4 linked regions of the Arabidopsis thaliana genome follow. The protein of the gene in region 3 purifies or fractionates together with the protein of the main gene of each other region. This does not show direct contact. Each region holds a gene or a part of one and is shown on either strand. Other genes may lie near its edges. The genes, in order: PIP3, PIP1C, ABCB4 and HIR2.

Region 1 (6,744 bases), on a different chromosome or scaffold from region 3:
TTACTTGTTTTATACATACTTTTAAAAAGTGCTAATCTAAGACAGCATTAATATTGAATCTTTTCAAAGTTATTGTATGTACTATTTTCTGAACTGAAAAGTTCAAAAATGAAATATGAAGGTACAATATAGCCTAAAAACAATGAATAGAAAGGAGTATGTTCTATGTTTTCTTTAGTGTAAATAATATTAAGATATTTTAAGAATAATTAAGCTAATCCCTTTATTATTAAAAGAGAAGTACAAATTGAAATTTTGTATAATTTGGTCTCAATTTTGATTTTAATTTTGGATTTTATTCTTTGCTATTCAAAATTATTAAGGGTAGTTTGGTCTTAACAATTTTCTAAGCTTTATATGATCCAATTCAATCTAAACCGTTTAATAAAATTAATTCTCTTTAATCTAAGCTATTCAACAAAAATAAGGAATCTATATCGTTTTTGAAATCAAAATATAATCACATTTCATCTCTAAAAACAGTATATTCAATCACGAAATCAATAATCAATAATATCCAAATCATTTATTACGATTCTTCACTAATCACTAGAAATTTATATTTATAAGTTTAAAATATCAAATTTCTTCAAATATTTAGTATAAGAACCAAATAAATTGATTGTCTGCGGTAAACCGCGGGTTAAAACCTAGTTAAGTACATAAACATGCTTAGTTTACCATATGTGTACTAAATGACAAGATAACTAATTAAAAAACAATCCACAAAAATAAACGCATTCACTACTAATTAAACAAATATACTGCTAATCAAAATCAAAAGCACATTCTCAAGGCATAATTGAACCATAAAATTGATGTAAAAAAAAAAAAAAAACCGTAAAGCATACGGTAATCAAATGTAGTGACCGTTGGAGGGGGAATCGGAAAAAGGAATTGCGAGAAACGAGGACCATTATTTAAAAGGATGGAAAAAGACAGATGTTTATGGATCGTTCTAGCCGTTACCAGATACGATACACGTGGGATGATCTGTATGGATTAACGAAGAGATCTGACCTGTCTTTTGCCAAACTGATGTGGAAATTGTGACCTGGATGTTTTAGAGATAAAGATTGGCTGCCCCTTGTGGTAGGTCAGTCCCTTTCTCTGAACTATATAATATACTCAATTTAATTTAACTAGACTAGTTGAAATTGTTGAAGTTCGCTAACCATAATGTACAAAAATCCTTCATGTTCCGGGAAAATAAATCATAATTAACGATAGGTATAGTAGCAGCAAAGATAAGATGGTGATCCATTCTCACATGCAATGATTCGGATGAAGTTTAGCCAAATATTATTATTATCCAACCTCTTCTGCACCACGAAGAGACTTTATTTACGTAATATATTTGATGGTCCAGTACTACTATCCAGACATTATTGTTTTCGTTTCCAAATCATAAAACTTGAAATCTTATTGATTACTACTAGGGTCGATATCTCACTATTTGGAAACCGCAGGCTCCCTATTTATTAGTTTCAAACTCAATTGAAATGAAAATGTGTATTGGTGGTTTTAATGTTTGCACTGCGTAATGTTGCCTGAACTGTATATTTAATAAATTTACCACAACTTAGCAGATATAATTTTGTTATACGAAATCGTATAGTCTTCTTCATGGACAAAGAGGAAGGCAATCATCATTTTCTATGATTGCTCATCGACCTGGCATTTCCATTACCAAAGGCAGCATAATATCAAATCAAATATTTCTTTGTCGTACTTTACTTGAATTAATGATATTATCGTGGGTCGACTTAGGAAGTAAAGTTACTTCCATTTCATATATCTAAATCACATTTGCGTAAAATTTAAGTATTACACAAAGTGATAAAGTAAATTAAGTAATAATTGGCTAGGGATATTAACAAAATAAATAATTTTGATTAGGGCTACGAGGATAAGGACAAACGTCGTATTAACGTATAAAAAATGTGAAAGGAAAAGAGTAAACTAAGCTTTAGATATTAACACTCATTACGGGATTCCTAAATTGCCAGCACTTCGGATTATCCGTCAGTCCACTATTTATGCTAGTTTTTCTTTTCCTTGTGAGCTTGCACTATGGATTTTTCTTTATGCAATTCTCAATCTAAATGACCATTAAACTTTAGAAAAAAATGACCATTAAGTTTTAATGTACATTTGTATCAACTTTCTAATATGCCACGTCCGTATTGCTATATACAAACATAACCATTCAAATTAATATGGCTCTCTCAAAGGAAAAAAATAAAAGGAATAGCAAATGAGTAGATAAATTTTTTGATCAAAAAGAATAAGATGCACTAGTATTAGTATATACTCCCATACATCATTTAACCAAATTTTAAAATTGATTATAATCCATAAATAGTCTTCAAATTTCAACGACAAACACATTAATGTGAGTATAAATTAGCATAGACTACTATATAGTTTATATGCGGGGTGAATGTTTGTCTATACAAGTTTCGTCAAAAAAACGGCACCAACCATAATTAATAGACTCTTATCTTTTGCTGGTATATGAACTCTTTTTAAAAATTGCCGCGAATATACCTTCTTCGTAGATTATTAATCTTTTTCATGTACAGTTGCCTTTAGCAGATTATCATATGTTACAAACATTTGACCTAATTTGAAAAAATGTTACCAAAAAAGATTTGGAAAAAAAGACAAAGATATTGAGATAACCGTTGAAGAGAGTTTGGGATGACAGGCTGACGAGAAAACCATACACCTCATTTCTATCATTAACCCTCACATGGCTTATCTGTACATCTGGACCCCACCACCTTCTACTTTTATCTCCCATTTTTTTTTTCAAATTATTACTACCCAAAAAAATATTCAACAAACCTACAAAAACACATGTCTTATTTTTATTTATTTAAACATTTGTGTATTTATCCCATTGTTCCATATTTATTAGTAGGAAAAATATTCACATTTTACAGAACTGCAAAAGATTTGGCCATGCAAATTATACCCCACTTTGATTGCTATTTTATACACTATATCATACAGTACAAGAACAAAAATTTGATTGGGCCAGTAATAATGCATATAACTATTGATGTTAGCAAGAGAAAAAAATGCATTAAAACACAAATTTGACTATTATTTTGCAGGAACATTCGTGATAATTTTGACTATTATTTTGTCAGTAATAATGCATATTAATCGTATGTGATTTTAACTAAAACTGGAAAGTTCCAAGGAACATTTAGTAGTTTATATTTTTAGTACTAAGTTAGTTTAGAGGGTTATTAACTATTTAATCGTACTAATAATGATTATAAGCAGAATTATGTAGACTATACAAATAGTACGTAATACCGAAAGTACCCTTGGTTTATCCCTGGCATTACAAGGGTTTCCTTTTTCCCCTTTAAAATGGCAGAAGAGATACACTGTCGTCGTCACACAGCACCACAAACTCCATAGCTAGCTAGAGAGTAAAAAGAACAAAGATGTCGAAAGAAGTGAGCGAAGAAGGCAAAACCCACCATGGAAAAGACTACGTGGATCCTCCACCAGCTCCTCTTCTCGACATGGGTGAGCTCAAATCCTGGTCTTTCTACAGAGCTCTCATCGCTGAGTTCATCGCTACACTCCTCTTCCTCTACGTCACCGTCGCTACTGTCATCGGCCACAAGAAGCAAACCGGTCCTTGTGACGGCGTTGGTTTACTTGGTATCGCTTGGGCTTTCGGTGGTATGATCTTCGTCCTCGTCTACTGCACCGCCGGTATCTCTGGTAAGTTTGAATCCCACCAAAAACCCTAACTTTTACTTGTTTGGTTCGTTGGTTTTATTGTTAATCTCGTTCTTGTTCTCGTCTTCTCGTAGGTGGTCACATTAACCCAGCTGTGACTTTCGGTCTGTTCTTGGCCCGTAAGGTCTCTTTGGTGCGAGCTCTTGGTTACATGATAGCTCAGTGTCTTGGAGCCATTTGTGGTGTGGGTTTCGTGAAAGCTTTCATGAAAACTCCTTACAACACTCTTGGTGGAGGAGCTAACACCGTAGCTGACGGTTACAGCAAAGGAACTGCTCTCGGAGCTGAGATTATTGGAACTTTCGTCCTTGTTTACACCGTTTTCTCTGCAACTGACCCTAAGAGAAGCGCTCGTGACTCTCACATCCCCGTAAGTCTCAAAAAGCTTGAATCTTTAATTGAGTTTTTTGACAAAGTTACTATGAATCTGATTGGGTCTTTGTAGATTATGATAAAGGTTGAATCTTTTTAGGATTTAATGATAAAGTTAGTATGAATATAAAATGGGTCTTTGTAGATTCTGATGAAGTTTGAATCTTTTTATGGTGTAATGACAAAGTATGTATGAATCTCTAAGGATCTTTACTTTGTAGATTCTGATAAAGTGTGGTGGGTTTTCTTGTGATTAGGTTTTGGCTCCACTTCCAATTGGATTTGCTGTGTTCATGGTGCATTTGGCTACTATCCCCATTACTGGAACTGGTATCAACCCAGCTAGAAGCTTTGGTGCTGCTGTTATCTACAACAACGAGAAGGCGTGGGATGACCAAGTAAGTGTTTAGTTATTATCTGGATTAGGTATTCACTAATCATTCATGACTTCATGTCCTAATGTTGGTTCTGTGTTGGTTTTGGTTTTGCAGTGGATCTTTTGGGTTGGTCCGTTCTTGGGAGCACTAGCTGCAGCAGCTTACCACCAATACATATTGAGAGCTTCAGCAATTAAGGCCTTGGGCTCGTTCCGAAGCAACGCAACCAATTAATGAAGGCTTTTTTTAAGATAATGTCAAGAAACAACTTTAAGATTTATATGCTTTAATTATTATTTGTTGTTCTTTTGTGTGTAATGAGAGAGATGGTGGATTGATGTTAATTATGAAATGGCTCAGTGACTTCTATTTCCTTCTTTAGTTTTTGATTGTCTTTGTTAATCGTTTGCCTTTGGTTTCTCTTAGTAGTTACAAATTCATGTTTTCTCTTCATGTCAGTTCGTAAATATCGAACAATCCAAGTTGGAATTTATTATTCACAACATCACAAGATCCTTCAATGTACATTATTACAGCTAGCGTCCAATTAAGATACAAATTTCGGCTGAACATGGTGTGTGGGTCTTTTGGTTATTATCCTCGTGTCGACTCTAAACCATCGGGTCATATGTAAACCATTCATTAATTGACACGTGTTGAGAAGGAAATATTGGATTCCATTTGCTATGTGGTTACATTTTCGTTAGTTGACAAGAAAACAACTATTTTCGCTCCATTTGCTTTAGTCTTTTTTTTCGATGTTACTTGTTAGAATTAGTATTGTTTTTAAAAGAAAAAGAACTCGTGCGAGTACCTTTTGTTGTTTTTGTGAAAGGATAAAAAGGAGTGGAGCCAATAGAGTTGTAACAACCAGACAAGAAACGAGACATTAAACCCATTTTTTCCACCGCACTCTAACTTTTCTTAGGCCGCGTGTCGCGTAGCTCATGTGTTTATCACATGGGTAACTTTTCTGCGTCTAGTTACCGTATTGTTATTGTTATTGTTATATAGTAGACTCCTTTTGGCTAAGAGTCTTTAGACCCACCCAAACGCATATGTGTTTGGATGTATTAGGAAATTATTTGTATAAAAGACTTTACCAACTTAATTGAATAATGCATTTGATTAAAGAGAGAAAAAAAAAAGAAAATGCTCATGGAAGCAATAAGCACTAAATTTGTCTATGGGATGTAAATTGCGACAGTGAGAGTTGGCTTTAAAATAGTATGAATACAAATACGAATTTGTCTACATGGAATAGTAGTAATAATTCACGTCTCGTCTTTTCAGAAAAGTGAATGCAGAGGAGACAGAGAGAGAGAGAAGGACCACAACGATGGCCTTCACGCTTTTACTGGTTAATACGCCTAGTGTCTCAGTTTTAATTTTAAATACTTAGCCGTTATGATCGATTCTTCGTTATCTCTTCTTAGCTTCAATATGGTCCACTCATTTTGAACTTTGTAAACCCTAGCAGCTTATGAAGTATGAACCATCATATAGTTGGGCCTTAAATTTTGTTTTATAATAGCTATTGCTTTATTGGTTCTGGATAATAGCAATTTTGCAAGTTGCAAAATACCTTATGTGACCGGCCGGTTCACCCCTCTGCTTATCCCTAAACCGATTTACTTTAACCGATCTGATGCTGTATAGCTAAAAACATAAACTTGAAACAGACAGCAGCTGAGTGTGAAACTTAGTTGTCTGTCCATTTTTTTGAAAGAAATGATGTCATAATATGTTGACAAAAAACATCTTCAACTTTGGATATAAATCACTAATTCAGACTTTTTAAAAGTTGCGAACTTTTTTAATCATTCCATGTTACGGATTATTTTTTATGTGTCTGGAAAAATTGGCTGTCAAGGTGATTTCACGTGATAACTAATTTGTTTTTTTGAGGTCATTTGCCATCTTGTGAAAGCCTTTGGAGCCTACTTAAAGATTTTATTTTATTTTTTCTAGTAAAGACGATTGAAGTAACTGCTGTCTATTAGTTAAGATCTGAATCTCCAATGAGGTTATTTATAATTACTTACTCACATTGTGCAACAAAACCAAGCACAATTTGTGGTCCACAAACCTTTATCTGGAGGTTTCTGGTTCAACTTCTCCGGTTTACACTTAAATCTTCGTTTCGTGAGCAAACCCAACGGGGAGCTTCCCGTTGGGCCATGTTTCAGTGGGCTCGGTGTAAAGCCGACATGAGTAACTGAAGCCC
Region 2 (6,620 bases), on a different chromosome or scaffold from region 3:
AAAAGAATAAAGATCCGGTGATTGTGGTTACCGTGTAAGAACGGCGCGAGAGACGAGTTCGATGTTCTTGATCTTGATACCGGCGAAGGAGATGAAGATAAGGATTTGGATTCCGAGAGATTCGGAGACGAAGAGATAAGCGATGATGACGATGGGAAGAGAAAGAAGAAGGATCAATCCACGGAAGAGACTACCTGCTTCAATGGCCACCAGCATGAAGTAAGGGAAAGAGCTTCTTGACAGAAGCAGAGTCCCGTCGAGATCCGCAGCGATCGAATCATACTCTCTGCTTTTACACTCGCTTATCGGAGGAAAACTTCGGCTCTTCTTCGCCGGAGACATCTTTCTTGCGGCGAATACTGGCGATTTAGTAAACAGAGAAAGAGAGATAAAGAGAGATTTGGAAAGAAAGAGAGGGAAGGTCCTTGGGGTTTTAAATGCGCCTTCCAGTGGTTGTTTATCGCTCAACTGACTAAATAACTTTTCAGTCCAATTAATATTAACTATTTACGAAATTATCCTTAAACTTTCAATCTTTACAAAATTAACCCTTCTTATTTCTTTATCTCCATGAGAAATTAAATGTTCACATCACATGATTCGTAACAAAGGTTTCAATTGACACTTATTTTTTTCTAATATATTTAAGTTAATATGAGTGATTATTTGATTAGGGTATTTATTAGATGATGGAATTTGGTGTATACATAAATATAATTTTGGTCACACGCGGTTCAGTTACTTTCTTTTTGTTGATTGACATGAAAGAAAGTAGTTTAGTAGTTCACCTAAATGGAAGGCTGTATAATTAATTGGGTGAGTTATTATAAATTTATAATATGTGGGTTGGCATTGTGTGTATATACTATATAGTATCCAACTATACGTGAAACATTAAAGTCGACGGCCGCCTGACCAAGTTAATTATATGAAAATGACTTTTATATATTGGTAGCATTTAATTTTGATTGCAATATTTACGTATCAAGGAGCCGTCGACAGAGTTATAATGCTAATTGAGTTAATTGACTTTATACTAGGTTTAAATAATTAACTCCTTAATTTATAATAATTAAGGGATTAAGACGGTTTTCTTTTTCTTTGTCCGCGTATCATGGATGGTCACTCAAATGTCAATGGTATATTAATAAAACGGTAAAATAGTTGGGAGTTGGAGAGCCATTGAGCCATATGCATTCATACTTACGGATATGAGTGTAACAGTATTCCCCTAGTATGAGTATAATAACTACTTACACGCTATGGAAATTGAAACTGCATCACGTGAACCTTAGCTTACAAAGAAAAGTGACTTATGCGTGTATACATATATGTGTGTTTGAGATAAATTACCAAAATATGCATGCAATTATGTACAATGAAAATTATGAAATAGAATTTATTTCCAAGAAGATAACAAACTTATCATAAACATTCACTTTGAAGATATGAAACTGAAAAGTAAAAACTAAAAAAAAAAAAAGGTGTGAAGCAGTGGGTAGGTAATCCACTTTGACGAGGTTATTGTAGAATAAGTAAGAATGTTTTATCTCAACTTGGTTGGCTATCTATCGCAACAAATTAAGGTGGAGTGATGCCGTTGATGGACATATTATGGGATACTAGTTGTATCCATAAAGAGTGCGAAAAAGGCCCAATGTAAATGGGCTTAATACCCACTTGGTTAACGTGGCCCATAAAGAGTGCGCAAGAGGCCCAATGTAAATATGGGCTAAATACCACGTAAACTAGTTGAGTCGATGACCCGAGAAACCAAGCCGAAACAATATGGATCTTACTCAATTTGTACCGAACCAAACCAGAAGAAAATCAAATTAACAAATTCCTCTTGAAAATTTCTCGAGTCTAACGACAAAAGCAAAATTAAAATCGTACCAAATCAATCATAATATCAAACTCCATTTAACGATAAAACCAGATCATCCACAGCAAATAAGAAAAAGACAAGTCCATTAATTAAAATAAACACATGATCCAGATCTCTCAAATATTTTCAAGCTCAATTACAAACCAAGATGCAACAATGAAGTTTTATAAAGAAAGAAATCAAATCAGGATCTGGACTTGAATGGAATGGCTCTGATGACAAGTTGGTGGTAAAGAGCCGCAAGAGCTGCTCCAATGAATGGTCCGACCCAGAATATCCACTGCAAACCACAATCAAACCACAATCAAACCAAAGTGACAAAGACATATAGAAAGACAAATCAACCAAATGATGTAATGGGGTACTCACGTGGTCGTCCCAAGCGTGGTCCTTGTTGTAGATGATTGCAGCTCCAAGACTCCTAGCTGGGTTAATTCCTGTTCCGGTGATTGGAATCGTCGCCAAGTGAACCAAGAACACAGCGAATCCGATTGGGAGTGGTGCCAAAATCTGCAAAAAAAATAACCCTAAATTATGAATCTTTTTCTAAACACCCAAAACAATAAATTAAGAGGAATCAAAACAAAATTATACCGGAACGTGGGAGTCACGAGCGCTTCTCTTGGCGTCAGTGGCGGAGAAGACCGTGTAGACAAGGACGAAGGTTCCGATTATCTCAGCACCCAAACCAGAGCCCTTAGTGTAGCCGTGAGCGACTGTGTTGGCTCCTCCGCCGAGAGTTTGGTAAGGATTTGGCTGGAAGCCTTTGACAACTCCGGCGCCGCAGATGGCTCCGAGACATTGCATCACGATGTAAAAGACAGCTCTCGTCAATGACAGCTTACGAGCCAAGAACAGACCAAATGTCACCGCTGGGTTTATGTGCCCACCTGTGAAACACACACACACACACACTCATCAGAATCAACTCTAAATTAAGATCTCTTTGAGAAAAATCGAAAACTAAAAGCAGAGCTACAAGGGTTTGAAGCATGCAACAAAAGACCAATTCTACTTGTATTAAGAAGATAAAAAAAATGGGGTTACCAGAGATTCCAGCAGTACAGTAGACAAGGGCAAAGATCATGCCACCGAAAGCCCAAGCAATGCCTTGGATTCCAACAGAGGCACACATGTTTGGTGCTCTCTTCACTCCCATCACTGTCAATACTGTTATGTATAGAAACAGGAAGGTGGCTATGAACTCGGCGATTCCGGCTCTGTAGAAGGACCACGAACTCAGCTCGCCTGGCTCGAAAAATGGAGCTGGTGGTGGCTCCTTGTAGTCTTTGTCCGTCTGAGCCGATGTACCTATCGGTTGCCTCTCCGGGAACTTGTTAGCTCCCACTCGAACATCCTCTTCTTTCCCTTCCATCTCTATCTAGAAAACGTTCAAGTGTTCTTTGCTTTTTTTCTTCTTTTCTACAATGGGTAATGAGAGTGGCTGAGATAGAGAAAGAATGGTTTTATAGAGGCGAGAGAGAGAGAGAATAGAAAAAGCAAAAAAAACTAACGTCTCGAAACTATTATGATATATTTAAATAATGAGAAATACAGGGAATCATGGATAACGATGATCTTCGTAAAAGCATATTTATTTACGTTAATAATTGTAATAGCCTACTACTTGATGATGTTTAATCATGTAACACAACCCACGCTTATACTAATTCTGTTGCGTTGGCTAACTATTAGTATTATATTCTGAAACTCCTTATAAAGATAGCATGTTTGACCTAATTTATTCTCAAATGCCTTGCTACAGGAGTACTACTCAGTCAGCAGTTAGAAATGTAAAAAAAAATATTACAGTGCCAGAAAACTCACAAAGGACTAACTTTTTGACTAGTCGACGAATTAATAATTTACTTCCGACCGTTGGAGAAGAAAAGGAAAAGAAGTGTGTGGAAAGCGATTGCTTTATGTAAAGTAACATAGTCTCGAACATTGTGCCGGGCCTAGAGTATTTTTAAAATGTTTAATTAAATTACTATGTGTACTACTAGTGACAAAATAATCACAATGATTGTGAATTTGAGGTTTTTCAATTAAACGATATATATTTTAGAAAAAAAGAAAATGAAAATTGGAGATAAGGTTCAATTTTGCGGGGGTTTCCAGCTCAGAAATGGATTTTGCTTTTCTGTGATCACATGTTCGTTTCCCTATTCCCACTTTCCTTTTTCTATCAATCTATTCAAACCTAACAAAAATAAAATTCAAAACTCTGTTGTTGTTATCAATTCACATATTTTTAACGCTATATGAGCCATACTTTACTAGTTAAATGGAGTTTAGTGTTTAGGATTCAAACCCTATTAGTTTTGTTGATGTTGTCTTACCCGAACAATAATTGAATTTATAAACAGATTAACTCTATTGTAGATATCGATTTTTAAAAAACTGAAAAGGGAAACAAATAATCCGAAGCTAAACTATATGATTAAGAAACACCTTTTATTGAACTAGTGGTGGGGTTTGCCATTTTTCGAAACGCAACCCACACACACACATCACAGTCGTCTAGCTGCCCAACCAACAGAATCACGACACGTGGTTGAAGAGGCAAATATGTGTTGGTGGTGTTTACTGGGGCGGTCCCGACCAAAGTCCGTATATGACATCCTTTCTCAGTTGTACAAATCACATTTCATTATAATTCATTTCATCGAATTATCTATCTTTTAAATTTTATCAATATCTTTTTTTGTTAGAGGCGTGGACCGTATGAATGTATGATAGTATAGAAATAGAAATAATAACGTTGGCATTGTTATTTAACAAGCAAACAAATGATTAGGTTGATTGATGAACAAGCAATGACTAGGTTGATGAATTTTAATTGTTACTGACTTTGTCTGTGTACGTAGCTGGTACTTAGTTGGTACATGCCTATCAAAAGAAAAACTAATATTTTGCAACGAAGCAGATCCTTCATTGCTTACATACATGTGGAAAAAGATACGATCAATATTTTAAAAAATCGTGAATTGAATTTTGTTTTATACACACAGACGACAGACAAGCTTCTGACGTGGGCTCAAAACACTAAAACGGCCTCTGAATCAGTCAACACTTTGAGGCATGAGAGATTGATTAAACCACAGACCAAGTCTTTACGACAAATCAACTCGAGCCCAATAGGCTCTAATAAGGCCCAATACGATATAATCGTCTTCTTCCTGTAGAGTCGGGGACCTGGGATTAGTCAATAAATGAGTAGAATTTTTGTAAGGAAGAGAGTAGTTGGTGAGCGTCGCCATTGAAGGGGAAAGCAGCCCAACTTTGCATTGAATGACACTTAAAATCTTTCTCTCAGCAGCTGTCTTCATTTATGATCGATCCTACTTCTTTCTTCTCTCTACCAATTTCAAGATCTGGTCGTCGCTCACAGGAGAAACGTAATGGAAAACAAAGAGACCAAGCAAGAACCAGCAGCAGCAGCTGAGCAAAAGACCGTTCCGTTGATCGAAGATGAGATCGAGAGGAGCAAAGTCGGGATCATGAGAGCTCTCTGCGACCGACAAGATCCTGAAACTAAGGTCCCTATCGATTTCTTTAAGTAAAAAAAGAATTCAACCAGAAAAGTATTGATTTGATAAAAGCCCTAATGATTTGGATTTGCAGGAGGTGGATGATCTGATGATAAGGAGGTTTCTGAGAGCGCGTGACCTGGACATTGAAAAGGCTTCAACGATGTTTCTAAATTACCTGACTTGGAAGAGAAGCATGCTCCCAAAGGGGCACATACCAGAAGCAGAGATTGCAAATGATCTATCGCATAACAAGATGTGTATGCAAGGTCATGACAAGATGGGTCGACCTATCGCTGTTGCCATTGGGAACAGACATAACCCTTCCAAAGGCAACCCTGACGAGTTCAAGCGTTTTGTTGTCTACACGCTCGAGAAGATTTGTGCTAGGTGAATAATAATAATATTACTACATACATTAAGTTAGTGTGGGTATATAAGAAACCATTTATGCTAATGCTCTTTTTTTGTTTGTTTGAATGTTGTCATGTTAGAATGCCGAGAGGTCAAGAGAAATTCGTAGCAATTGGAGATCTGCAAGGCTGGGGATATTCTAATTGTGACATCCGTGGCTACCTTGCTGCTCTTTCCACTTTGCAGGTTACTTCCTTTAATTCGCCTATCATATCTTTTGAAACAAACATTTAGGTTTTTAGCAATTATCACTAATAAAGGAAAATATTGCTAATAATCCACTTAACTCCAAATATAGAGAATTCAGTTTGACTTCCAACTAAGAAACCTTTTGTTCGTCAGTACTATTTACTATGTTTTAAAAGGTGTTTTTGTTATTTTGGAGTAGGTGATCAGGTTAAAGGTCTTTTTGTTATTTTGGTCCTTTTGGCCACACTTGGCTTCTTTTTTTTTGTTTCTCTTTGTTTATGGATTTTTTTTGAAAAGGAACTTTCATGATTGTAATCCTATTTTTAGCAAAATATTGCGTTAGTAATATTGTTCATGGTCGTGAGTCCTGACAGTGAGTAACCCCCACATTAAGAAAACCTTGTTTTACAGGATTGTTACCCAGAGAGATTAGGGAAACTCTATATAGTTCATGCCCCCTACATTTTCATGACCGCATGGAAGGTCATTTATCCTTTTATCGACGCCAACACCAAGAAAAAGGTACATTGATTTGCTCTGCTTCACAATCACTTTATTAGTATGTTTTAAGACTGTGTTGGAAAATTTGATTGTTA
Region 3 (10,322 bases):
AGGAGGCAGGGGAAACAACAAATTCCCACCTGATATTTCCTACTTTGTGTTTTGGAAATAAATGGGCCTTCTCCTTTGATTAAGCCCAAGTTCGATCCCATCTATAAATAATGCAACTTAAAACTCACAAAAGTATTCGGCTTACGCAAAATATAGGGTTTCTGTTTATTCCAATCATAGCTTCCGGATCAAGCAAAACAGAGACCGAGACGGAGCAAATCGCTTCTACGGAGGGCCCCATTGATACGACGAACACTGATGAATCTACAGTCTCTTCCTCTCTGAACAATGACAAAAGTCCGACTACAATCCGGAGGAAGATAATTCCGGCGATAGCAACGAAGAAGAAGACGAAAACGAAAGCGACGAAGATAGCGTAGTGGACTATGGAGATTCAAAGCGATCAACCGGAATGGGGAGTGGATAGCTACGATTATGTATACATAGAAACTATCCAAAACTATCAACTTGGCTTAATGAAAATGATAGTTTTGGATATTCTTGTTTTGAACACCCAATCTCAAATGGTATAATACATTACAGTACCCTCAATAATATAATAAGAACCAAAAAATTACCCAAAATAGAAATTCACAACAATAATAAATATAACGGGGCATAATTGACATAAAATAAAAATAAAGGGACAAAAAGATAATTAAGATCAAGAAGCCGCGGTTAGATGAAGCTGAACTAACGAAGCATAAACTCCGTCTTTGATATTGATCAACGTGTCGTGCTTTCCTTTCTCAACGATGACGCCGTTCTTAACGACGGCAATTACGTCAGCATTCTTAATCGTCGATAACCGGTGAGCTACCACAATCGTAGTCCGGTTTACCATAACACGGTCTAGCGCGTCCTGAACCACACGCTCAGACTCAGCGTCAAGAGCACTCGTGGCTTCGTCGAGCAGCAACACCTTTGGATCTTTGACGATGGCTCTGGCTATAGCTACTCGTTGCTTTTGTCCGCCTGATAATTGAATTCCTCTTTCTCCCACCATCGTATCATAACCCTAAATCAGGCAAGTAATCTCCGGTTAATTTGACCCGACCCGATAACCCATTGATTTGGGAATCAGAGTAAGAACCCTAAAGGTTGAGTTTTTACCTGTTGCAGACCACTGATGAATCCATGGGCGTTTGATAATTCAGCTGAAGATACGATTTCGGATTCACTCGCGTCTCCTCCTTTGCCATAAGCAATGTTGGCTCTAATTGTCTCGTTGAACAAGATTGGTTCTTGGCTCACAAGTCCCGTTTGTTGTCTTAGCCATTTTAGTCTTAGGCTCTTGATCTCTACACCGTCAAGAGTGATCTCACCTGAATCTGGATCGTAAAACCTCTGCAACAATGCAATCACCGTTGATTTCCCGCTACCGCTTTCTCCAACCAAAGCAACTGTCTGGAATGTGAAACAGAGAACAGAGGTTTACTCAAAAGGTTCTGCCTTTTTTGCTCAAAGAATGAAAGTTTTGAAATCCTAACCTTTCCAGCTCGAATGCTTAGACAGAGGTCTTGGAAGATTTGAACATCTGGTCTTGCTGGGTATTTGAAACTAACATGACGAAGCTCAATGTCTCCTTTAACATTATCCAACACTCTTCCTGATTCCACACTTGGGTCAATCTTTGATTCCCTGTCCATTATTGCGAAAATCGAGGCAGCAGCTACATCGGCTTTGCTGGAATCTGGAGATAACGAACTCGATTGAGATATCGCCATTGCCGCCATTGTCAAAGCAAAGAAAACCTGCATTGTTAAACATGACAAGGGATCAAGAAACTCTCAAGGGAAGGCATTTATCATCAACATGTTGTGTGTTTTGTTTCCGTACCCTGAAAACAGAGTCGAAGGTTGTTTTGCCATCATCGACAAGGCGTGCTCCAACGTAGAAACTGGCAGCGTAAGAAGAGAAGAGGACGAAGAAAGAGAAGCCGAAACCAATACCACTGACTATGCCTTGACGAATCCCATTCTTCATTGGACCTTCACATTTCTTTGAGTACATGTTCATCACCTTGTCTTCTGCACAGAATGAAGCAACGGTTCTTATGCTCCCTACCGCGTCATTCGCTACTTGGCTTGCTTCCCCGTACATTTTCTGCCAATGATTTAAAGTAACGTTAATCAAATGATTGAGAGAATCTAGTTGGTATATGTATGAAAAGTAGTAACTAGTTTACCTATCTTAGCAAAAAAAAAAAAAAAAAAAACTAGTTTACCTTTGCATCAGCGCTGAAACCTTTCATGAACTTCATATAAAGAAATCCATTGAGTGCGATAAGCGGGAGCATCGCGAGGACCACGAAAGCTAATTGCCAACAAGCCAAAAATGCAATGATCAAACCAGCCAATATAGATGAAAGATTCTGAACTGTCTGAGCCAAAGAGTCTCCAACTAGACCACGGATTGTGGCAGCATCTGCTGATAGCCTTGCTCCTATGGTTCCACTAGAATTCTCTGGCTCGTCGAACCATCCAACTTCCATGTGAACCACTTTCTCAAAACACATACTTCTGATCCTCTGCACTAGTTTACATCCAGCTATGGCAAAGAAGAAGGTTTGTGCTGGGTATGCAATGATGGATGCGAAACCAAGAACCATGAATATGATTGCCCAGAAGCTTGTATCTTCTTTTAGCTTTTTAGGTGGTTGGAAAAACGCTTTGATTACGCTGGAGATTAGTATGCCAAAGATTGGAAGGATAACGCCATTTGCTGCTGCGGATATTGATCCAAGTATTAGCACCGGAATCTCTGGTTTGTTTAGAGCAGCAATTCTGAAAATGGAGACTTTTTTTGGTTCGGTTTTTGGTTGTGTAGTATCATCCTCTTCTTGATCTTGAACGACGTTTCCGTCAATTCCTGCTGGAAAACCAAACATATTGAAAGAATGGCGGCTGCTGTTTCCTCTGGATGATCCTCCTTTGCTTAGAGACCGGCCTAGAGACGATTTTCTCAGACTAGATTGTTTGAATGATTCAATTGATGACATCTTTTGCTCCTCCGCTGCATTCTCATCAGATTTCTTCTCTTCTTGTAGACGAATCAGCTGAGAATAAGCTCCTTCCGGGTCCTTTAGTAGTTCCGTGTGAGAACCTGTTCATCAAATTTTGCTATCACACATGTGTATCCATATGCAAAAAGTGAATAAGAATGTTAGGTAGTTTACCTTTCTCGACGATCTTGCCTTGGTGGATCACAGCGATCATATCCGCATTTCGCACAGTGCTTAACCGATGAGCGACCACAACAGTAGTCCGGTTAACCATAATTCTATCAAGCGCTTCTTGAACCACTCTCTCAGATTCTGCATCAAGCGCGCTTGTAGCTTCATCTAAAAGTAAGATTCTTGGATCTTTTAAGATTGCTCTAGCCACCGCGATTCTCTGTTTTTGTCCACCGGAAAGCTGAGTACCATGTTCTCCAACCATTGTATCCAAACCCTGTGGTAGCTTATCCACAAATTTAGATGCGTTTGCTAGCTCTGCAGCTGCTTTAATCTCTTCGGTTGTTGCGTCTTCTTTGCCGTACGCAATGTTATCCTTGATGCTTGCAGTGAACAAAACTGGTTCTTGACTCACAAGTCCAATCTTGCTTCTAATCCATTTTAGCTGAAACTCTTTTAAGTTAATACCATCTATGAGAACGTCACCAGCTTGTGGATCGTAAAACCTCTCAATCAGACTCACAACAGTAGATTTCCCGCTCCCACTTTGTCCAACTAAAGCCACCGTTGTACCACTCGAGATAAACAGAGAGAATCCGCGAAATATTTGCTCATCGGGTCTCGCTGGGTAAGTAAAGTAAACATCTTTGAGCTCAATATCTCCCTTAATGTCATCCAAAACTTTACCATTTGTACTATAAGAATCTATGTTAGGTCTTCTCTCAATTGTCTCAAACATCTTGTAAGCCGCGGCTTGTCCAGCTGCAAATGCGCTTAAGCAAGGCGATGTTTGACCTAACGACCTAAGGAAGGAACAAAAAGATATCTCAAATTAGTTTGCAGGGAAGTTAATGAACCAAAGAGGTATTGCTAATGAAAGGTACTTACATGGATCCAGTTAAAACAGCGATGATGATATTGAGAACTTGTCCTCCTGTGTAGCCTTTATCCAATATCAACTTTCCTCCATACCATACTGCTAAAGCGTAGCTACAAAAGACTACAAGAAAGAGCGTTCCAAGACCCAATCCAGTTGAACCACCTTCAATGACTCCTGCTTTATAAGCAGTGACAAGATGTTTATTGTAATTGCTTATCGCTTGTTTCTCTCCTGTAAATGATGCAACCTGCAAAAATGTAGATAGTAAGTCTTTGTGGTTTTGGTAATTTTGGCTAAGTAAAAGTGTATAAGTAAGCCTAATTACCGTTCTTATAGAACCAATTGTTTGCTCAACTACAGTGGCAGCTTTGGCGTAAGCAGTTTGTCCACGAGAAGCTGTTTTAGCAATGACGATAGCCAGAAGTGCACCAGCCATTACAAGTAGAGGAATTGAAGATAACATGACCAACGTTAGAAGCCATCCTCTTACGAAAGCTATCACAAAGCCTCCTACAAATGTTGCTAGAAGTTGTATAGCTTTTCCCACCTGACAAAAACGTCGTCGTTTTAACAAATAAAGTTTCAAACATTAGAACGCCATGTTGACTTTTTTTTAGTAGCTTACCTTTTCTCCCATGGCATCTTGGATTAGCACAGTGTCACCGGACATTCTTCCAACAACTTCTCCTGTATTTGTATCGATGTCGAAAAAGGCTATATCTTGTCTTAAGATTGTCTTTAGATACAAACTCCTTATTCTCGCTGCTTGTCTCTCTCCAGAAATCATCCAGCCAGACAATTCTGAACATTCATAGACATCAAAAAAGTTTACACTCTTTGTTTTCTTGAAATCTTTTTTCACAAAGTTTAGATCCTTCGACAGATCCAATGAACTTACGGAGAAAAGCAGCTGCGAAAGTACCGATTCCAAGCCATACAAACTTCAGAGCAACCTGTGTGAGTTAAATAAAAAAAACTAGTAAGAAAGTCAAATCTTGAAATGAATCCCAATTAAGACAAAAAACATTCGTTTGATTTACTTTGGAGACTTTGTCTGTTGTATTAGTCTGATTCTCTCCAAAAGCATCAATGAGATCTCCGAACAGTAAGGTCATAAGAGGGAAGCCAAGACCATTTCCAATAGATCCAAGCGTCCCGAGGATCATCAAGAGGAAATCAAAGGAATCTGCAAAAGCAAAGAGCTTATAAAACGGCACCGTTTTGGTTTTCTCATGTTCCTCGTCTTTCTTCTCTGTTTTCTTCACTTCTTCTTCTTCTTCCTTGTCTCTTTTGGTCTCAGAAACCTCTTCTAGTATATTTGGATCTCCATTTAAGCCGCTCTCTGAAGCCATTAGAGTTTCACAGATACCTCACGATCCTAAGCATTTAAAAGAACAGAGGAGATATGTAATAAGTTTCTAAATCTATGAGCTGATGAGATCTTCAAGAGAGAGTATATATCTAAATAGGGAACATAAAGGTCAGGCCAAGAAGGAAAAGAAACAAAGACTTTTCACCAACCATGAAAACACCCTAAAGATCTGTATATTGTTTTTTCAAGAACATGTGAAAAAATAACGAAACCTGAAGCAAGATCTGTCGTTTACAATGAGGAATAACCGAAGCTACGGCCCAGATAAGAACATAAAGTACAGAGTTTCCAGTATAAAAATGATTAAAGCAGAGAATATAAAAATATATATATATACCTCGAAAAGCAACAAGAAGAAAGTGATTAGGGTTTAGCGGCTTCTTGGTGTCTTGCCGTATAAACAGCAGTTGAAAAATGTGCAGAGAGCTCTCTCTCTCTCTCTCTGCTTATATATTTTTATATAATTGTAAGTGAAGTTTGGAAGGACTCATGTGAGTTTATATATGCTCTGTTTATTTCTTGACGAACAAGCTGTGACTTGTTTGAGAGAAAGAGAAAATGGATGCCATGAAATTAATAACTACTACTTCGTAAAATTTGTGAAAAATAGTCTTTTTGTTGTTGTTGTTAGTAAAGTTAAATTGTAACCATAGCACAATTGGCGTAGTTATAAAATAGGGAATCTTGTGTATATAAAATGAATTATGCCTTTATGTTTGTAATACAATATAATACGTAAGATAACATTTTCAATATTTTATCTGCCCATTATTGTCTAATGCTGACCAAGATGATTAATTATAGCATTAAAAAAATATAAAGAACGAATTGATCACAGCGATCGACGATTAGTCTAGCTGTTTTGTTCAACTACAACTCTATTATTTTAACATAAAGTTTTAATACGGGAGGACCGTATGTCTGTATAATCCCGCGAATCACTCATATGTACAATATAGTTATTTTTTTTATTTTTTTTGGTATCAGTGATAAGATATATTTGATCTCTTATTATAGCTAGTTAATTAGCCATGTTATTAGCAGCTTCCATATGTCCTTACTCCTTATCATCGTTTAAAACGATTCGTTTTATATAAAAACTCGAATTTTGTATGTACGTCTTTGTGTGTACATATACACATCAATATCTCAAAAAAAAAGGAAGAAGCTGAGTTATGATGATTTTCTTGCATCGCTTTAGTTGACTTTCTCGTTGGCATTAGTTGTGACTTGTGACTATGGATGGACAAATTGACAAGTGCTGCAAGAACCCATTCCTCACTAGTAATCTTTGTTATCATAATTGCGTTTTGCCAACGGATCGATGGGAATTATTGATGTGTTAAAACAAACGAAAAATCGAATTCCCATAAATGTATATTTCATTAGTTATTTTGTAAGTTAAGCTAAAAATATTATAAAATTATATTTTCTGGTCAGATTATATCTTTGCACTACCATTCTAGGTTGGAACCACGTGAAGCTTATTTTACTTTACGAGCAAGAAACACGTCCGAATTTTAAATTATCGATTCAAAATAAAACAAAGAAAAGTCAAAACTACAGAGAAAGGGACCTTTCTTTCTTCCAGGGAGCCAGGGAAGGAATGGTCTCGCATTACTTCTTCTGCGCCTTTTCAGAATCAATGAATCTTATCGAACCAATAACGATTCTGACGTCATTCCTGACATATAATGATATTCCTATATTTATCACCTACCCACGTATATCTTTTGTCTATAGCAAGAATTTACTACTTGGGGAACAAGTTATCAAATACTACTTTTCTAAGAAAAGAAAAACTACTAGTTGCAATTTTATTCCAAACATTGATGTGAGAGTGACTACACCATTAATAAATCGTGTGAGGCGCTATTCAGATTTTTCATTTTTCGATGAAGTGTGGATTTGTTTTGTCATTTTTATTGTAAGTTTTTGTTTTGGTGCACATAAATATTTAATTTCTATTAATTTAAAATATCTGCTGAATGACACTAATTATTGGACTCATTAATTCACTCGATAGATTATTGACATTTTTTTCAGTAGGCGTAGTAGACCTTTTTCCGGGGGAAGAAAAAAAGTTTAAGCGGTTCGATTCCCACTAACCTTTTGGAGAATCGTGTCACGTGTCGAATAGACCCAAATCCTTTACCCTACATGTTTGAAACTGTATAAAATTCCCGACGTAAATAAGACGATCTTGACCCGGCCCGAGAACCCGAATCTATGGATTTTGAATTTGGAAACCCAACCTACAAATTTTTTATATATCCCACTGACAAAGCCGTTACTAGCCCATGGGCCTAATTACTTCAAAGAATGCTCAACTTTTGATTTTTAATAGAGAAGAAAAAGTTTGAAACTTTATCATATATTGACTTGTCTTGTTGCTCTCTAGAGTGCAATCATACCATTGAATACATTTTAGGATTCGTTTTCAGATGGTTTAAGATATAATCACTCTGAACGCAAATGCAAATTAGAATGTATTTTGATCCAAGCATTTCTACATGTACTGCTTTGATCTGAATCGAAAAGAGCAAGTCATGGTTACTCCCTCAATAATCGCCACTAAGAAGAGTAACAGCTTCTTTGACTTTTGGAAGCATTTATCACATAGAGATTAAATCATTCACCAACTACCACTGCAGTCCACACAAAAAAAAAGCTTAAATAGATTAACCAAAAAAGCACAAGAAAACTAAATGCAGAAAGAGAGGAAAAGAGACAAATGAAGCAACTGGCTCCAATCTTGGCCGTGGTAAACTTGATCCTCCTGGTTCATGGAGACGAGAGATCAGCGGTTGGAGATCCTGGGATGAAGAGAGACGGTCTCAGAGTGGCATTTGAAGCTTGGAACTTCTGCAATGAGGTTGGCTTCGAAGCTCCTCACATGGGTAGTCCTCGAGCTGCAGATTGCTTCGATTTGTCATCTAAATGCATCAAAGCATACACAGAAGACCAATCAAACAAAACCACCAGTAAGTTTTCTTCTTCTTTCTTTCTCCTCTGTTTTCTCTGTTTCTAACTATAATTTTCGATAGGTGGATCTTCCTTGGTGCACAAGGTATCAGACTCGGATAATGAGCTAGGGATTGGAAAGCCTAAACCAGGAATCATATCAGAATCAGCATTGCATAACCCTGACCTTTACGCGGTCGAGAAAGAACTCTACCTAGGCTCCCTCTGTCAAGTCTCAGACAAACCAAACCCATGGAGTTTCTGGATGGTCATGCTCAAAAATGGAAACTACGACACAAAATCTGCTCTTTGCCCTAAAAACGGCAAAAAGATCCCACCTTTCAATCAACCCGGATTATTCCCCTGTTTCGGCAGCGGTTGTATGAACCAACCGACGCTGAACCACGGAAAAACCGAGCTTCAGAGAGATGGTCAAACCATGAAGGGATGGTTCAATGGTACGTACGAGCAAGGGGCAGATTTTGGAAATGGGTTGGATGGGATAAGTTATTACGAGGTTGTGTGGGAGAAGAGAGTAGGCGTTGGTGGTTGGGTATTTAAACATAAGCTTAAGACTTCAGCTAAGTACCCATGGCTTATGCTTTACCTTAGAGCTGATGCCACTAAAGGATTCTCTGGTGGATACCATTATGACACTAGAGGAATGCTCAAAACAGTAAGTAATTAACACTAACTTTAAACCTTTTTGAAAAGTTTTTTTCATTCTTGTCAAAAAGAAATTGATTGATCTTTTGTGATGAAATATTGAAATGTGTTGTGTTTTTGTATTAGCTTCCGGAGTCACCAAACTTTAAAGTGAGACTAACACTAAATGTAAAACAAGGAGGCGGAGCCAAGAGTCAATTCTATCTTCTCGACATCGGAAGCTGCTGGAAAAACAACGGCAAGCCCTGCGACGGTGACGTAACCACCGACGTTACTCGTTACTCGGAGATGATCATAAACCCTGAAACCCCACTTTGGTGCAACCCCAAGAGTCTTCACAACTGTCCACCGTACCACACGTTTCGGAACGGCACCAGAGTTCACCGTACGGACCACCGGAGCTTCCCTTACGAGGCTTACCACGTTTACTGTGCGCCGGGAAACGCCGAGCATCTTGAGCTTCCGGTGGGGACTTGTGATGCTTATAGTAACCCACAAGCTCAGGAGATTCTTCAGCTTTTGCCTCACCCGGTTTGGGGTGAATATGGATATCCTACCCGGTTGGGTGATGGTTGGGTGGGTGACCCGAGAACTTGGGATCTTGATGTTGGTGGCTTGTCCAGTAGGCTTTTCTTCTACCAGGTGATTGATTGATCAGTAAACCGGTTGGTTTTTCTGTTGTTTCTTTTGAATATTCCGGTTTTGGTTTTTGATTTGTTTATGTTGTAGGATCCCGGTACGATTCCAGCGAGGAGGATTTGGACATCGGTGGATGTTGGCACCGAGATTTATAAAGAAGATGAAGCAATTGCAGAATGGGATCTCTCTGATTTCGATGTTCTTATTACTTGATTTAAGTCAATTTTATAATATTTGTTTTTTTTTGTCGTCAAGTCAATTTTATAATATAAGATTCACAACTAATTTATATTCATTTGGTACAATTATTTTATCAAAATATGCAACCAATACTGAACCAATCCAAAGTTTTTGTTTTCAAAGTAAACCAAACAAATTCCGATGTAATTGTGTAGTACCGGTACTGGAAAGAGAATTGCGTACTAATATCAACCATCAAGCAAAAAAAAAAAGTGTACTTGCGATGTACTTTGGGTCCTACCACGTGGCAGCTAAATTATTTCTCTCTACCTTCCGATTTAACACACATAGTCGTAAAAACCAGAACCCTCCAGCTAATTTAGAGGGTTAGGAATACAGTTGGGAATAATGAATATACGCTTTAGCCAGATCGCAGTACAAGACTT
Region 4 (6,585 bases), on a different chromosome or scaffold from region 3:
TTCATTTTTGTTTCCATATTTGTCACAAGACGTATCTTTCCATCTAGGGTTCTTATTGAGCAAAACCTTTAATGTCATTGTGGTTGGTTTACCTAACTTTGAGCTACTTCATAGATTATAATGTATATATATTGCAGCAATTGTAGGAACTGACATTTGAATGGTTTTTTATAACAGTGGGAAGTCAGTCCGCAATTGTGCAATCAAATGACCAACCGGTTGGCCCAGTCTCTTCTACTACTACAACTAGCAATGCAGAAAGCTCTTTGTCCACTCCTATCATAAGTGAAGAACTTAACATCTATTCTCACCTTAAGAAGTTTTCTTTCATTGATCTCAAGTTGGCTACTAGAAATTTCAGACCTGAAAGCCTTCTCGGAGAAGGTGGCTTTGGTTGTGTCTTCAAAGGCTGGGTCGAGGAGAACGGAACTGCTCCTGTTAAGCCTGGCACTGGCCTTACTGTTGCCGTCAAAACCTTAAATCCTGATGGCCTTCAGGGTCATAAAGAGTGGCTTGTAAGATCCTTCCTTCCTTCTCTTTTCTTCTATATATATATATCCTTTTCCACTGTTAAACACACAACTAAAGGTTCCTGTTTGCAGGCTGAGATTAATTATCTTGGTAATCTTCTCCATCCCAATCTTGTTAAACTGGTGGGTTATTGTATCGAAGATGATCAAAGGCTGCTTGTATATGAGTTTATGCCTCGAGGAAGTTTGGAGAATCACCTTTTCAGAAGTAAGTAAAACAACTACAACCTTCATATTCTAATTACACTGTAGAGTTATTTTCTTTCCTTTTCTTTGTTTTCGATTTGGGTAACAAGTGTCTACAATTTAGAGATGTGTCTACTCCATATTGTTAAAGTGATTAGAATCTATACAGCTAAAATTGGAACCTTTCTGCTCTATATGGTAAAGTTGGTACCTTTTAGTGCTGTCTTAGATGGTTTATATTGCTTGACTGTATTGACCCACGAAGCAATAAGTAAATCCCTCGCATTCATTGTTTCAAGATTTTTCGGCGTAAAAAATGTGTTTAAAAAGACACAGTGCTTTTGTATGATTTATCTTCTCAGTTATCATTGATGCAAATCTTTTTATTTGTGAATTAACTTGTGCTTCGTGTTGAAGGGTCCTTGCCTCTTCCATGGTCAATTCGGATGAAGATTGCATTAGGTGCTGCAAAGGGTCTCAGTTTCCTTCACGAAGAAGCTTTAAAGCCGGTCATTTATCGAGATTTCAAAACCTCAAATATTTTACTGGATGGGGTATGTTTTCCTCTTCTTTATATCAAGGGATCAACATCTTATATACACGTCTGTTTCTTTGCTTCTAAAGTCTTACCATGTCCCAATTTCAGGAGTACAATGCTAAATTATCAGATTTTGGGCTTGCCAAAGATGCTCCTGATGAAGGCAAAACTCATGTGTCTACTCGAGTCATGGGCACTTATGGTTACGCTGCCCCCGAGTATGTAATGACCGGTAAGTTTTGTTTTTTGTCTTTGCATTTCATTCACTCCTCTACTTATATCTTCTCTGTATGGTTGAATATAGAAAATTAGAAACCTACACATATGGTTGATGCAAAGTATTACTATGATGAAACATACATCTAATTTCTTTGGTTTGAGATTATATATAACTACTGTCCTCTTATTACTCCTTAGGTCACTTGACATCAAAAAGCGACGTTTACAGTTTCGGTGTGGTTCTTCTCGAAATGCTGACTGGTAGAAGATCAATGGACAAAAATCGACCAAACGGTGAACACAACCTCGTTGAATGGGCGAGACCGCATCTCCTGGACAAAAGAAGATTCTACCGGTTACTTGATCCGAGGCTGGAGGGTCATTTCTCAGTTAAAGGAGCACAAAAAGTGACTCAGCTTGCAGCACAATGCCTTAGCCGTGACTCCAAAATAAGACCCAAAATGAGTGAAGTGGTGGAAGTACTTAAGCCTCTCCCACACCTCAAGGACATGGCTAGCGCTTCTTACTACTTCCAGACAATGCAAGCTGAACGTTTGAAAGCTGGTTCTGGTTCTGGTTCTGGTCGTGGATTCGGGTCAAGAAACGGGCAACCAGTGTTTCGGACATTGTCTAGTCCTCATGGTCAAGCTGGTTCGTCGCCTTATCGTCATCAGATTCCGTCTCCTAAGCCTAAAGGTGCAACTACTTAGATTGGCTCGCAAGTGTGGACGCAAGCAAACGTCTTTTTTAACCGATGTAAAACCGACATTGTTAACCGATTTAAAGAAGGAAAATTAAGGTTGTTCCGAAGAAGATCCGAATTTGTGTATTTACTACCTTTGTGACCTCATGTTTCTTCGTCTGTTGTAACTCTTGAACAAATTGTCTGTTAGGGTAATATTGTCATTATGTATTAGTCGTTTCGTATCGCTTCACCAGCATGCAACCACCACTTCTTCAATGTAAAGATAGATAGATATCAAGAATGGTAATGGAAGATGTGGGTGGGGGTGAGAGACATTTTGCTTTGAAATTTTGAAAATTTTCTTCTCTTTGATTTTTGGACTTATCTACTTGTAGCTTGTCGATAATCGAGTTATTAAAATATAAATACGAAAGAAGAAAACTGACAACTTTTCTTACGTGAAACTTTTATACTCACATACAAGTTATCCACTTTCTTGGTTAAACATGCGAGCCGCAAGGACCAACGACTTTTATATACAAATAATTTCCTTATAAAAAGGATTACAGTAAGATACTTTGCACACTAGCAAGCTTGATGATTGTATATCAACATCATAATTTTTCTTATTAAGTTATGATAAAAAACATTCAACTATAATTTAAAATATAATGGACCGTTCCGAATTTCCATAAATTCGGTTACCACCTCCACCATTTTACATCAAACAGAAACCAAAAAATTAGATTTAGATATATATATATATACTAGTAGAAGTAGAACCATCTTGTTCTCGTATATTATTACGAAACCCTACAGTTAACAGCTGCAGAATAATATAAATAAAGCGACACTCCACTTTTTTCTCCTACATTTTGTTGAATTTGAACCTTTAAATCAATAGTATATAAGAACATACAATGTAATAGATAACGCGTTTACTCAATCAAAAGGAACAAGTATATACTACTAGATAACTCTTGTTTATTGGCGTCTGACAAGGCTCTGTAGTATATTCAACGATACGATTATCCTCTTTTCTTCGATAAAAGTATATTCGATTCTCTTACTACAGAAACATAGTTTACATTAATGTTAGTGAAAAATACCATGCACGGAAAATCAAAGATTTAATTCTGTGGTTTGTATAATTTGAAGTGTATAATGAAACTATTTTTTAGCCTAACCCAAAAAGAATTAAAAAGAAAAAGTAATTGTTATAAAAACGAAAAGCATATTTATCAAATATTATTATTGAATATTCTCCAAGATATAAACAATTTGACTTTTCAATGAAAATGCCACTATTGAATAATAAATAGGAAATTTCCGAGGAGTAGTACAACTAGATGACAACTTGACATGATCTTCTTCTTACTTTTGTCTATATAACACTCCTGCGACTTTCTTCTCTTCAACAAACTTACAGAGAGACAAATACCTATAATAAGCCATTCATAATCTTCTTGCTTCTTGTTCAGAATAATGGGGAATCTTTTCTGTTGCGTGCTTGTGAAGCAATCAGATGTTGCGGTCAAGGAGAGATTTGGCAAATTCCAAAAAGTACTTAATCCAGGTCTCCAATTTGTTCCATGGGTCATCGGTGATTACGTCGCCGGTACACTGACCCTTCGTCTTCAGCAACTCGATGTTCAGTGTGAAACCAAAACAAAGGTAAGTAACATTGAACACACATAATGCAAAACTTCTTCTTCTAATGGACCATTAATTCATCTATGATTATGTTTCAGGACAATGTGTTTGTGACAGTGGTTGCATCCATACAATACAGAGTCTTAGCTGACAAGGCAAGTGATGCTTTTTACAGACTCAGCAATCCAACCACCCAAATCAAAGCCTACGTCTTTGATGGTATATATATCTCCTCTTCATTTCTCAATACTTAGGGAAAGTGATGATTTATCCGGTCAAGTTATTGATTTTCGTTTTGTTTTTTCAGTGATCAGAGCATGTGTTCCAAAGCTGAACTTGGACGATGTGTTCGAGCAGAAGAATGAAATTGCCAAATCTGTGGAAGAAGAGCTAGACAAAGCCATGACTGCTTATGGTTACGAAATCCTTCAAACCCTAATTATCGACATTGAGCCTGATCAACAGGTTAAACGTGCCATGAACGAAATCAACGCCGGTAAGTCCTCAAAATCGTAAAACCCTAAATCAAAATCTAAACAAATAAATGGTCAAAACCCTGAATTCAATTGTTGTTACAGCGGCGAGGATGAGAGTGGCAGCGAGCGAAAAAGCAGAGGCTGAGAAAATCATTCAGATCAAAAGAGCAGAGGGTGAAGCAGAGTCAAAGTACCTGTCGGGACTCGGAATCGCTCGGCAGAGACAAGCGATCGTGGACGGTCTGAGAGACAGTGTTCTAGGGTTCGCAGGAAACGTGCCAGGGACGTCAGCGAAGGATGTGTTGGACATGGTGATGATGACTCAGTACTTTGACACAATGAGAGATATCGGAGCAACTTCTAAATCCTCTGCGGTGTTTATCCCTCACGGTCCAGGCGCCGTCTCTGACGTGGCAGCGCAGATTCGAAATGGATTATTACAGGCCAACAATGCCTCCTAATCACTCAAGTCAAATTGTCTTGGTCGTCTCTTTATATATTTTTGTATCTTCTTATTAAAAAGGTAAATTTGACTTTTAATATAATGGTGTGCTTATTGTGATTTGTCATTATGTTTGTACCTATCTCTTTTGTGAGTTGTGTGATAGATATACTTTGTATTTTTTCTTAAAAGTCAATATAAATTTCTGTTTGCGAGAGAAAAATCGAATCTTTGAATAGTGAACTTTGTGGCGATAAACTAATATAATGATTAATGAAGAGAATGTTGCGATATAGGACACTTTCATATAATGAAGAGAATGAACCTGATCGATAAACATGTGGGCCTAAAATGAAGCCCATCTCAATCAACTCTCTGGACACAGGTCCACTTACTCAACACACAGGCCCATCTGAATATGCAATTTTCATTATGACACGGCAAATAAAAAGAGAAGCAGAAGAGGAGGATCTTAAGAGTTTCATCACCATCTCAAGATGATCATTTTCAACCTTTTTATTCTTCTACAAATCCGGCAGGAAAATGGGAAAGATCAGTAGTTGCCCACTCAAACCATGAACCAAGCAGAGAAAAAACAGAGTACGTAGAAAGAAACTAGTTTAAAAAAACTATTGCAACTTCTTCTTCCATCTCAGTTTCAAGGCTTGAGTGCGAGAGCCAATCCAACTTTAGCACTCTTGTCAATTGACTTTGTGTCGACTTCTCCAGAGATTGTGAAGAATGACTTGGGTTTCCACTCGTGTTGAATGAGAGCACTTGCAATACCCGCACTATTGACACGAGCCTTCACAGAGGTCAAGGGGTCAAGCGAGTGCTGTGTTCCAACAGTTATGGTGCTGTCCTTGCTAGATAACTTGTGGCTCACTTCGGCTCCAACCGCAGTGTTGAACAGCGGGTTCACAATGTGATAGTAAGATGCATTCAATAGATCGCCCTTGTCGTTCCTAACAAACAACAAAATCAAAAGATATTAAATGGAAACATTGAGAACTCCATCTTTCATCCAGAATTCTCACTAAAAATCACTTACACAGTAAGGGAGGCAATTAAGTCCTCCTTGGTGAAGCTTAAACCAGCATTGATCTTGGTGAAATTTCCAGACTTGGTGTCAAATGAAACATCAGTACCAACAGCCAAGACATTGGAGCCAATCACACCAGAGAAGTTGACAGTTGGGTTCTGAGTCAATCCCATGCTTGTGCTGATACCGGCGTACTCATGCAAGTATTGCAGCTCAACCTGTTTATAAGACGAAACACGATAAAAATGAGAAGTCAACTCTCAACTGATGAAACTTTAAAACAATACAAAGAAATGTTGTTGAATTAATAAAATATACCTTGCCAGAATTTTGGTCAGGAACCTTGAAGCTGAAGATTGACCTCAGTCCGGGTGCAGCCTCATCAACGGTAGCGGTGATCAGAAACTGAAACCAATACACACAAAGTTGTAAGGTAAGTAGCCCAACAAACAAACAAAAAACTATAACTCAATATACAAGAAAAACAGGAGATGAAATTGAGTACACAAATACACTTACAGTAGAATCAGTGCAAACTTTCAAATCAGTAGTAATGTTCTTTCGCCTCGACTGAAAAGCGACATCTCCCAACAATAAGTCACCTTTCTTAGTTCCGGTTGAGGTGATGGCCTAAAACAAAGAAAGAGCCAGATTATGAGCAACGATGCCCAAGATAGAAGAAATCCAATGTTTACCATCACACGAAACATAAGAACAAAGTAAGAAATCCGTTACATAAGATAACAATGCTAATTCGACACAAACCTCAGAAGCTAATGAATAAAGCAAAAGTGGAAACAGAATACAGAAGACG

What was found.
Region 1: the proteins of ABCB4 (region 3) and PIP3 purify together in Arabidopsis thaliana (affinity purification with mass spectrometry, with the first as the bait; one large-scale study listed by BioGRID). This does not show direct contact.
Region 2: the proteins of ABCB4 (region 3) and PIP1C purify together in Arabidopsis thaliana (affinity purification with mass spectrometry, with the first as the bait; one large-scale study listed by BioGRID). This does not show direct contact.
Region 4: the proteins of ABCB4 (region 3) and HIR2 purify together in Arabidopsis thaliana (affinity purification with mass spectrometry, with the first as the bait; one large-scale study listed by BioGRID). This does not show direct contact.

Annotation. Positions count from the first base shown.
Region 1 is NC_003075.7:16,705,208-16,711,951, forward strand, and holds PIP3 (plasma membrane intrinsic protein 3), read left to right. Parts: upstream 1-3,153; 5' UTR 3,154-3,464; coding exon 3,465-3,750; intron 3,751-3,842; coding exon 3,843-4,138; intron 4,139-4,397; coding exon 4,398-4,538; intron 4,539-4,631; coding exon 4,632-4,751; 3' UTR 4,752-5,200; downstream 5,201-6,744. UniProt on the Arabidopsis thaliana protein: Water channel required to facilitate the transport of water across cell membrane. May be involved in the osmoregulation in plants under high osmotic stress such as under a high salt condition.
Region 2 is NC_003070.9:223,914-230,533, forward strand, and holds PIP1C (plasma membrane intrinsic protein 1C), read right to left. Parts: upstream 3,631-6,620; 5' UTR 3,264-3,630; coding exon 2,936-3,263; intron 2,779-2,935; coding exon 2,483-2,778; intron 2,399-2,482; coding exon 2,258-2,398; intron 2,169-2,257; coding exon 2,073-2,168; 3' UTR 1,752-2,072; downstream 1-1,751. Other genes in the region: GPAT4 (glycerol-3-phosphate acyltransferase 4), read right to left, coding at 32-342; AT1G01630 (Sec14p-like phosphatidylinositol transfer family protein), read left to right, coding at 5,293-5,430, 5,516-5,811, 5,916-6,021, 6,436-6,546. UniProt on the Arabidopsis thaliana protein: Water channel required to facilitate the transport of water across cell membrane. Its function is impaired by Hg(2+).
Region 3 is NC_003071.7:19,309,344-19,319,665, forward strand, and holds ABCB4 (ATP binding cassette subfamily B4), read right to left. Parts: upstream 6,001-10,322; 5' UTR 5,765-6,000; intron 5,729-5,764; exon of another isoform or gene 5,434-5,728; 5' UTR 5,408-5,433; coding exon 5,096-5,407; intron 5,009-5,095; coding exon 4,954-5,008; intron 4,857-4,953; coding exon 4,681-4,856; intron 4,603-4,680; coding exon 4,381-4,602; intron 4,303-4,380; coding exon 4,064-4,302; intron 3,979-4,063; coding exon 3,179-3,978; intron 3,106-3,178; coding exon 2,228-3,105; intron 2,107-2,227; coding exon 1,840-2,106; coding exon of another isoform or gene 1,780-1,839; exon of another isoform or gene 1,755-1,779; coding exon 1,491-1,754; coding exon of another isoform or gene 1,408-1,490; coding exon 1,114-1,407; coding exon of another isoform or gene 1,081-1,113; exon of another isoform or gene 1,019-1,080; coding exon 665-1,018; 3' UTR 300-664; downstream 1-299. Other genes in the region: AT2G46995 (uncharacterized protein), read right to left, coding at 125-241; AT2G47010 (calcium/calcium/calmodulin-dependent Serine/Threonine-kinase), read left to right, coding at 8,162-8,411, 8,475-9,067, 9,184-9,699, 9,787-9,909. UniProt on the Arabidopsis thaliana protein: Auxin influx transporter that mediates the transport of auxin in roots. Contributes to the basipetal transport in hypocotyls and root tips by establishing an auxin uptake sink in the root cap. Confers sensitivity to 1-N-naphthylphthalamic acid (NPA).
Region 4 is NC_003074.8:86,415-92,999, reverse strand, and holds HIR2 (SPFH/Band 7/PHB domain-containing membrane-associated protein family), read left to right. Parts: upstream 1-3,406; 5' UTR 3,407-3,643; coding exon 3,644-3,832; intron 3,833-3,909; coding exon 3,910-4,030; intron 4,031-4,118; coding exon 4,119-4,307; intron 4,308-4,389; coding exon 4,390-4,748; 3' UTR 4,749-5,316; downstream 5,317-6,585. Other genes in the region: AT3G01300 (Protein kinase superfamily protein), read left to right, coding at 178-515, 603-738, 1,134-1,270, 1,363-1,486, 1,672-2,183; VDAC1 (voltage dependent anion channel 1), read right to left, coding at 5,388-5,694, 5,781-5,989, 6,090-6,176, 6,291-6,401.